3 linked regions of the Tribolium castaneum genome follow. The protein of the gene in region 2 purifies or fractionates together with the protein of the main gene of each other region. This does not show direct contact. Links are inferred from orthologs where the notes say so. Each region holds a gene or a part of one and is shown on either strand. Other genes may lie near its edges.

The links.
Region 1: the proteins of Syx8 (region 2) and Vamp7 purify together in Homo sapiens (affinity purification with western blotting; 3 studies listed by BioGRID and IntAct, with this or other methods). This does not show direct contact. The link is inferred for Tribolium castaneum from reciprocal best matches to the Homo sapiens genes STX8 and VAMP7.
Region 3: the proteins of Syx8 (region 2) and Vti1a purify together in Homo sapiens (affinity purification with mass spectrometry; 3 studies listed by BioGRID and IntAct, with this or other methods). This does not show direct contact. The link is inferred for Tribolium castaneum from reciprocal best matches to the Homo sapiens genes STX8 and VTI1A.

Annotation. Positions count from the first base shown.
Region 1 is NC_087402.1:8,581,271-8,584,399, reverse strand, and holds Vamp7 (vesicle-associated membrane protein 7), read right to left. Parts: upstream 1,658-3,129; 5' UTR 1,466-1,657; intron 1,414-1,465; coding exon 1,210-1,413; intron 1,158-1,209; coding exon 929-1,157; intron 874-928; coding exon 806-873; intron 758-805; coding exon 593-757; 3' UTR 580-592; downstream 1-579. Other genes in the region: uncharacterized protein LOC103312779, read left to right, coding at 1,932-3,129. UniProt on the Homo sapiens protein: Involved in the targeting and/or fusion of transport vesicles to their target membrane during transport of proteins from the early endosome to the lysosome. Required for heterotypic fusion of late endosomes with lysosomes and homotypic lysosomal fusion.
Region 2 is NC_087394.1:35,393,413-35,396,496, reverse strand, and holds Syx8 (syntaxin-8), read right to left. Parts: upstream 1,923-3,084; 5' UTR 1,643-1,922; coding exon 1,611-1,642; intron 1,563-1,610; coding exon 1,368-1,562; intron 1,320-1,367; coding exon 1,090-1,319; intron 1,042-1,089; coding exon 949-1,041; intron 889-948; coding exon 728-888; 3' UTR 659-727; downstream 1-658. Other genes in the region: cytochrome b-c1 complex subunit 2, mitochondrial, read left to right, coding at 1-465, 514-600; uncharacterized protein LOC103312255, read left to right, coding at 2,180-3,084. UniProt on the Homo sapiens protein: Vesicle trafficking protein that functions in the early secretory pathway, possibly by mediating retrograde transport from cis-Golgi membranes to the ER.
Region 3 is NC_087399.1:4,595,869-4,598,752, reverse strand, and holds Vti1a (vesicle transport through interaction with t-SNAREs homolog 1A), read left to right. Parts: upstream 1-1,317; coding exon 1,318-1,518; intron 1,519-1,566; coding exon 1,567-1,917; intron 1,918-1,965; coding exon 1,966-2,118; 3' UTR 2,119-2,305; downstream 2,306-2,884. Other genes in the region: large ribosomal subunit protein eL34, read right to left, coding at 1-65, 963-1,027; tkv (bone morphogenetic protein receptor type-1B), read left to right, coding at 2,797-2,875. UniProt on the Homo sapiens protein: V-SNARE that mediates vesicle transport pathways through interactions with t-SNAREs on the target membrane. These interactions are proposed to mediate aspects of the specificity of vesicle trafficking and to promote fusion of the lipid bilayers.

The sequences.
Region 1 (3,129 bases), on a different chromosome or scaffold from region 2:
CCAATTTACGAGTATGGTCCGTTTCAGATCTTATTAGCAACAGCTGTCAGTTTTAAAAAATAATTTTCTCTTTGAATTATTGTTTTTTTTGGCTTTAAATTTGTCGTTGGGATTTTCTTTAACACAGAATCCTTTTCTTTTTTTGCAGAATCTCTAAATTTTTTTTTTAGTAAGACCTAATATGAGACATATCTACAAAAAGAATGCTCGAGTTGGCAAATCTAAATCTTTTTTTTAAGTGGTTCGACTAATGATAGCTTCTCCGTATCCAGTTGCTGAATAAGAAAATTCTTTAAATTTGTTACCAACTAAAACAATTATTCTTGATTTTTTTGTGTTTAATTCTTGAATTTTTTGAGACTTTTTAATACGTGATTAGATAAAAGACTAGAGGGAAAATAAAACAAGAGTATATTTTGTCTGCTTTATTCAAGTAACGATACCTTAACAATTACAAAATTATAAATTAACGAAGATAAACTACATAATTATAAAAGAATGTTTTTATCACTAATTTTGCGGAATCTTATTTACATAAAGATAAAACGGTACAGTGTTTAAGTAATGAATAAAGTAAAATATCTTAAAATTTTTATTTCTTAGCAATACAGCCCTGCCAGAGAAGCCCTCCGCAAGCCATGCAAACAATAAAATAAACAATCACAGTAATAATCACACCAATGATAACATAAAGCTTAACGTTTTTCCAAAACATGGAACGTGCCAGATTGCGACTTGTCTTCCTGAACGTCACAGACTGAAAAAAAGTTTCAGAAAAAAAAACAACTTTTTATTAAATACTCACCCCACTATTCAAATTTTCAGCTTTATTTACTAACAGTTCCAGCCTTTCTCCCCTCATCGCCACATTATCTTATCAATGAACGCAGTAATAAATATCACATACAAAATATTTATTCACACTCACCTATATTCTTGACCATAATATTTTTAAGTTCATCCAACTCTCCATGAACTCTTGAAATTGTATCCACATCATGGGATTCGGAATAATGTTTCATTTCGTTGGCTAGAACCCTGGAAAATTCAGAATTCATCGCATATGCAATCGCAGTCTGGATAGAGTCCCCATATTGGGACCTGAAACGCCTTTTAATTTCATTGAGAAATAAAAACGCCCGTGACCTCTCAAACTCCTGAAACAATGATGACAATACAACCAAGTATTTACGCGACATTCCACGTTACATCGTCAGTAATACACATGTAAATAACTTGGTTTTCACAAACATAGTGGAACAAATAGTTCCCGTGCGAGTACGTCAACTTATCATCATGTGGTGGTATTTTTCCGATGATCTGTTCAGTAACTTCAGCGAAATTCCCGGCGCAAGAGGCATATCGAACTAGAACGGTGCTTCCCCGAGATATTACACTATAAAGAATTGGCATCTATAATGAATAAACAATGTTAATTGATCCTAAACAGTTGGGACGTAATTACGTTTTATTTTTTCCGATTTACGTTGACACCTTCACATAAACGCCAAAAATGCCACACACGTAACAATGATAAAAACGCGCACAACGAACACAAATATCTTTGAATTAATTGGTATTATTATAAAAAATTGAGAACAATAACAAAAACGTCATGTGTCACACTGACGTTTGGTTTCAAAGTGCGCATGCGTCAGCGATGACTCAGTCGATGTTCTAAATACCACACCAGTGGCGTCCGTGCATTTTCAAAATTTCTCCAAAAAAATAATTTCATAGTAAAATTCGGCCACGATACCGAAAGTAACACCTTGGTTTAGTTTGAGTGAGATTTATTTGAATCAAATAAAACGTGTTACAAGCGTTGTTAGATGTTGTGGTTTTTGAAAATCGAGTGGCGCGTTGTCAAAGAATTCAAAAAATGTGGCCGAGCAAATAATTCCAATCATTTCAATTTCATGGCGCAAATTATGGAATTCCTGTTAAATTTATTGTTACTGCGTGGGAAGGTTTTAACCACAGCAGCGGCCGAGACACTCCACGAATATATCAAAAAATGTATGCACTTCAAGCGAAAAATTTCGACCGAATACAGCAACGCGACCCAAATAATCCCGTTTGAAAACATGTTGGAGTTTATCAACAACTCGAGCAAATACACCTGTGAGGGAGACGTTGTGACGAACGATCTCCGCTACTTGTACGAACACATAAACCGGGTAAAGCAAGAAAATGAGAAACATACACATACTGTTGCTTTGGTGCCGCAAACCGTTGATAAAAAATTGGAAGAGTTGCCGAAAAACCAAAATTTGAACACAGTCCCTGAATGGTTGCGCCGTGAACACACCAAAATTAACGAGTTTAAAGTGAAAAGTCAGGAACACATCATTGACAACTTGCACGCAATCCTCAAATCGCAAGAGTTTCTCTTCAAGAATATCATCAAACTGGTGAACATCCTCGAGAAGGATGCCCTCATCAACTCAAACAGCGAAAAACTGGACAAAATCAAGAGGAAACTTGTCGCATGCACTGATATTTTGTCAAACGCAGCCACTTCGCAACAATTCACAAGCCTCATCAATAAAATAATCGAAGAAGAGATCACGCGTTGTAGATTCAGGCACGGCGAAAGCAAAACCAGCGCTGAAATTAACTTAAAAGTGCCGAAACCTGAGGGAATCGAAGCTGCTTTGGACATGTCGCACAAGAACAACGACATCAGAAGAATGAAGAAACAACTAGCTGAGAAAATTGCAAAACCAAGCGTACAAAATAAACAGAATGAGCGTTTAAGGGGCCGTATTATTGACCTGGAAGTGAAAACAAACTCCGCCAAGTTACTAAAACGGGCGAGATCCGAGCCAGTTTTGAACGAAAACCGAAAATTGGAAACCATCTGGAAGAAAACACAGATTGAGATTGAAGAATCCAAAAAAGTGATACAAGTCAATGAAGACCGTTTCAAGAAATTTGAAAACACACTTTGGCACACCTTAACAACCATGAAATTTTTGTCGCTGAAAAGTGATTACGCAAATATGACTAAGTGTGCGTTCTATAATAAGAGACAGTTTGTGGCGACGGAAGCAACAATTTCGAAAAAAGTCCAAGGAGAGGAAAAGTTCGGCAAGTTTGTTAAGATAAGTAACTCCATGTTCCACA
Region 2 (3,084 bases):
GCGATCGCCGGCCAAGGCGCCCCATGGAAGAATTCCAAAGAAGCGCTTGCTGTTTCAGTCCTTCAGAAAGCCCTAGGCGGAGGCCCCAAAGTCAAGTGGGGGTCTGTAGACAATGGGGCCTTGAGTAAAGTTGTTGGAGGCGAAGGCGATGCCAAATACGCCCTCAATACGTTCAATGCCAGCTACAGTGATGCCGGGATTTTTGGTGTCTTGATTGCAGCACCGGAAGCCACAGCCGGGAAAATTGTGCAAGCAGCATTCAAATTGCTAAAAGCTGGGAATTTGACCGATGCGGATGTTAACAGAGGGAAGAATCAATTGAAAGCGGCGCTTCTTATTAAAAATGAGTCTGGTTCAAGCGCTATTGATTTTCTCGGAAGTCAGGCGGCTGTTTTGGGGTCGGCGAAATCGCCAAGTCAGGTGGTGGCAGAGATTGATTCAATCACAACAGCAGATGTCAATGCTGTAAGTTTATAAAAGCGAGTCTAGTTTTTGTTAACGTGTTTTTTTCAGGCTCTCAAGAAAGTTGCTTCAGGTAAACTATCAATAGCCTCCGTTGGCCAACTGCGCACCGTACCATTTTTAGATGAACTAAAGTAAACTTAAGTCGGCTTAATTTATGTTGTATAAATTCTGTTTTAAACTAAACTTATACATGTTAGAATATGTATTTGTTTATTTGTTTAATAAAATATAAATCACATTGTAAAAAAATTGTGTTCAAGCGTCAAATTGCTGCAACCACGATTATACTTATAAATAATAAAATAATAACAACCCAATAAACGCAAGTTTTATCTTTGGTTTCGACCACTGAAATGTGCTGCGTTTCAGTTCTAACTCTGGTGTCGGTTCGATCGATTTGGGTCCCCAAGTCATCCAATATTTCTGAAAAAATAAAAATCGTATGTTCTTTTTAAAGTAACTGAAGATAGTCCGTAATCATACCATTGTGTAAGTCTACTTCGTTTGAAATCGTGTGAGCGATATTTTTCTGTCGCGATATTATTTGGGCCAAATTATCGAGTCCTTGTTCTTGTTCTGAAATTAAATTTTAAAACACTCCTCAATGATTTTTAATAAGAATACCTCCCAGCATCCTTTTTTGATCTGCCTTTAACTGTTCAACTGAATAGTTGGATAATTCATCGCTACTGTGACTATCCCCCCAAGCAGAAGCCCCTGCCTCTCCCATGAGCCTCCTTCTATCCTCTTGCGCTTTACTTGACGCTTGGTTTTCGAACAAATTTTGCATTTTTATCGCATTTGAGTGTAAGATTTCTAACTGTCTTGTCCTTCGTTCAGACTCAGCCGCAGTGCTATAAATTATGAAATAAAGTCTCGGCAAAATTAAAACTAGGAGTTACATTGAATCCCTTCTGGTTGTTATGTCTAATTTTTGCTTTAATTGTCCAACTTCGTTATTGTATTGTTTTAGTCTCAAACGAATTGTTGCAGACAGATGGGAATACTTATCACTGGTTCTGGGAAGCTTCTGACGCTGCATTAGCTGTTCCATGATATCTCTGTACAATTTCTCACAGGATTCATATTCAACCAACCTAAGAAAGAATTTTTTAAATAAATTTACGTATTTACTTTGACCATACCAGGGATCCTCCCCTAAATTTAAAAGAGCCATTGTTGTGAATTGTCGTGATCAGATCACATCACACGTAAATAAAATATAATTAAAGCACCACAAATGATGTGACCGCGCAAACCACGTGATTGTTACACACCTATCTCAAATATATAAACATGTAACAAATACAACAATTAACTGCACCAATTTTTACTAAAACTACAAACGCGTGAATAATTAATTATTTATGTCAAACAGCCCCCATTATCAAATTTCTGACGTGGGGACATTCCACTTTGATATTGGTCTCACTGCTTGATAAGATTTATCATTCTACTGAAGAAAAAAAGAGTTTACTGATAACGAAAATTATTGACGATAAACCCACATGCTCGGTCTTGTTAATTCCCTTCAGTTTCTTCGACGTATTTGTGCAATAACGCCTCAAAATAAAAATTGATTTTTTTGGTAAATTTTCGTTTGCGGTTGGCAGTTTTGGAATTTAATTCTCAGTTGCCCAAATGTCAATTTGATGTGTATTTGTGAGTGGCAAAATCCTTTTTTATGTAATAACACGAACAATTGCGTTGGAAAATGAGTCGGAGGCATCACCACCACAATCTCCAGCCCTATGATTACGACCGCTTCAACGACCAACCGCGGGATCGAACCCGGGACCAGGCCAGAGCCATCGAATACCAAGACGACTCCTTGAGTTCCATAAACTCAGACGAAGAGTCGTACCTGCACCACACGAATAGAGACAAGAAGTCAAGCTTTTATTCGAAGGACAAGTCGAGCAAAAATGAGAAAAACAGCGAGCCCTACCACCCGAAGGAGCCCAAATCGCAGCCCCGGGACACCAAGACATCCGACTCCACGGTGGAGCGTTTGGAGCGTCTGGAGACCATGTTGGAGGAGTTCATGAAACGTAGTACTGTCCCAGCTCCCACACCAAGTGTCCTCGAGAAAGGGGCCGAGAAGCCGTTTTACGTGGAACCGCCCAGTGTTGTTGAGAAGAAGGGACCCAGTGATAGACTCGACAAGCAGTTTTATCTGGAGCCGCGACGACACACGTTCACCACGTCCATGTGGATCAACAAAATCCAGGAGATGTCGTTCCAGAACAACTGGGATGAGAAGACAACCATCCAGTATATGGTGTCTCAAATGTCCGGGACTGTGAAAGCGTGGTACAACAGCTTGCCCAACTATGACTACACTTGGCCTGAGTGGAAACTTTTGATTTGTAAGGTTTTCCCGGACAATACCGATTTTGTAACCACTTTGAAGAGATTAGTAACACGGTTGAAGCAAGCTGATGAGAGCATGACCACCTACTACTTCAGCAAAATGTACCTGATTGAAGCGTGCAAAATCACTGGAGAGGACGCAGTTTCGTGTTTAATAGACGGGTTGAACAACCAAACCATACAAATACAGGCAAAGGCTCAAAATTTTCTAACACCTGAAACACTATATTCGCAATTTTTGATGGT
Region 3 (2,884 bases), on a different chromosome or scaffold from region 2:
ACCTCGGGATCTTCTTGGGCTTCTTTAGGTATTGGTATACCAGTCTACCGCCAGGGGTGCGAACACTGAAATATAAAAGAATGATAAGTGATGTAATTTACAAAAAAAATCCTTATATAATTTAGTCAGTCAGAGATTGAACGAAAGAGTTTGTCGTCACTTAACTTCAGGACTCTAGCCAAAAGTCATCATAGTGTATGATGTCAACTTTTTTGCAGGTGTATTTTAAATAAACGATTAACAACTAAAATTGCCTCATTTTTTCCAATTTTCTGTTATATCATATAAAAGGTCCTTCAACTATTTTAGACTCGCAAAACATTTAATTAAAATTAATTTCGATGACAGATCACAGAATAATTTAAAAATAAACACAGTTTTTGGCAGACGTGAAAATTTATTACGACACTAACAAATTCACGTATTTTTTATTTTATGAATGACTTTATTTTGCAACTCTTCAAACGTACAATTAATTAGCATACACTTATAACAACAAAAAAATATAATTTCTAAAAACCAATACAAAATTTCAATTTCAGTCATTATGAAATTTTTATCAAATGAAAACGTATTTAATTATTGCTGCAACAATTAACAATTCTGTAACTTTTTTCAAGAACTATTAAAATTTAACATACGTTGAAATCGCAAATCTACCAGCTTTTTTGAACAGTTTGATAACAAAATAGGGTAAGAAATAATGGAAAGAACCCTATCATACAAACACAAATTAGTTATTCGTTTTTTGTTAAATGAATTAACTGATCTTTTCTTAAATGAAAATACTAATGAAAAGACAACATCATTTGTCTCACAGTCAGAATACAAAGGGTAGAAGGGGACAACAGAGGTTGACATGACCTAACCTCAAGTGTACTTTTGTGCACCCGTAAAGTGTATTTTTCATATTACCACCTTACATTATACTTTTTTATCAGTCTATTAATTACTGCACTTACATGTGTCGCCTGTTTGATTTCGTATTGTACGACAATCGTCGTCTAAACACCAACCGCTGCACCATGTTGGCCTGCAACTAAACACCCAATTTTAGCAAAAACTACCACTGGAAAACATAAATATGAACTAAACCGAACCACAATTAACAAATTTAAGTAAAAAATAACAATTATTTAGGCCGATGATGGCAGATTTTTAATTTCTGAAAACACTTCAACTAACCTGTCAAATGTCACCAGCAAAGAGGAGATTTTGCGCAGTCTTGCCAACCCACAAAACCACTAGTCAGCCGTCGCCATCTACGAAAAAAATGTCTAAGTCAAATTTCTCTTGATACAAACTGCGAAATCAGAAATGGTTTCACTTTTTGAGAACTATGAACAGCAATATTCAGTGCTCACGGCCGATATCACGGCCCAAATCGGCCTTCTGGGTGCCTCGGCCACAAGTAAGCCTCCCTTGATTCACCTGTCAAAAGCCTTCATTTGTTTTTCAGAGGACCGCCGCCAACTTATTTCCAACATCGAGAAACATGTCGAGGAGGCGCAAGAACTGGCAAGTCTTTAATATCCCTCTGTCTAGCCTTAATTTATTCATTCGTAGTTGGAACAAATGGAATTGGAGGTTAGGGAGGTCGAATCGGCCAAAAGACAAAGGTGCAGGACCAAGCTAGATTGCTACCGTGCTGAGCTCAAGCGGCTGACTTTGGAATACATCAAGGCGCGGTCGATAAAACAGGGCGCGTTGAGCTACGATAGCGCGGAAGAATTGAACGATGTGCGGATTTCGTCCGATCAGAAGCAGAGGCTTTTGGACAACTCGGAGCGGATGGAGCGGACGGGGCGGCAGCTGGAGGAGGGGTACAGAGTGGTGCTGGAAACGCAGGACATTGGGACGCAGGTTTTGCAGAATTTGAACGAGCAAAGGGAGACTATCAAAAGGACGCGATCAAGAGTAGTTTCTTCAATATTTATGAATTAAGAATTATGTTTTTTGTTTTAGTTGAGGGAGACTGACGAGGAGTTGGGGCGGTCTTCGCGCCTCATGAGCTCAATGATAATGAGGTCCATTCAGCAGAAAATAATCTTGTTCATTGTTGGTGCCTGTTTCATAATAGCCCTCTGTCTGGGTCTTTATCTGGGCTTGAACAAGTAATTTTGCGTTCTCTTTTTAGGAACTGTACATATGTATCAAAAAAGTATTCTATTGTGTCATATTTCGTATTTTTTGTTATTTAGTTATACATTCCTGTTATTTGTGATGTTCTTCGCACTGAGTTGTTAGCGGTAGTGAGATAATACTTAACTTATTTTAATAATATAAAAGTACAAATTCTATACAACGTGTCTTATTTCTTACCTTTTTAACTCCCAAATGTTAAAAAAAATATCTAACATGAGTTGAGGTTTTATTTCTTTTGTTACATTAATTTGTGAAAGCACGTCCTGTTGCCATTGAATAATTTTGGCGAAATATCCGCATACATAATGAATTTGCGGGTAGACATAAACAAAAACAAATGCAAATTGTTAAATTTTATCTTGATTGTTATCGACATTGCCCTGATTTTGGGTATTTTATCAGCTTCGTATCTTTTGTTTATTAAATCTTTATATTCAAGGAAATAGGGATGTTGGTCACTAAACTAGAAAAAGTGTTAAAATTTATTCCTGTTGGATTTTAAATGTGGGCGCCACGCGTTGCGGCTCTTCGTCCGCTAGATGCCGCGGCATTTCGTGCAAAACATCAAGTCGCCATCAAGTAATCCTGTGTGGTGGATTGTGTTATTTGTGTAAGGATTTGTGTCCTTTTGAATGCATTTGTGGGTGTAAAATGGCCGATTCTTACGAATCGGGGGTGCATTTCGTCAGTTTACTAAATAACGCATCGGCTGCGAGCTTCGTGCAGACATGTAAGTAGT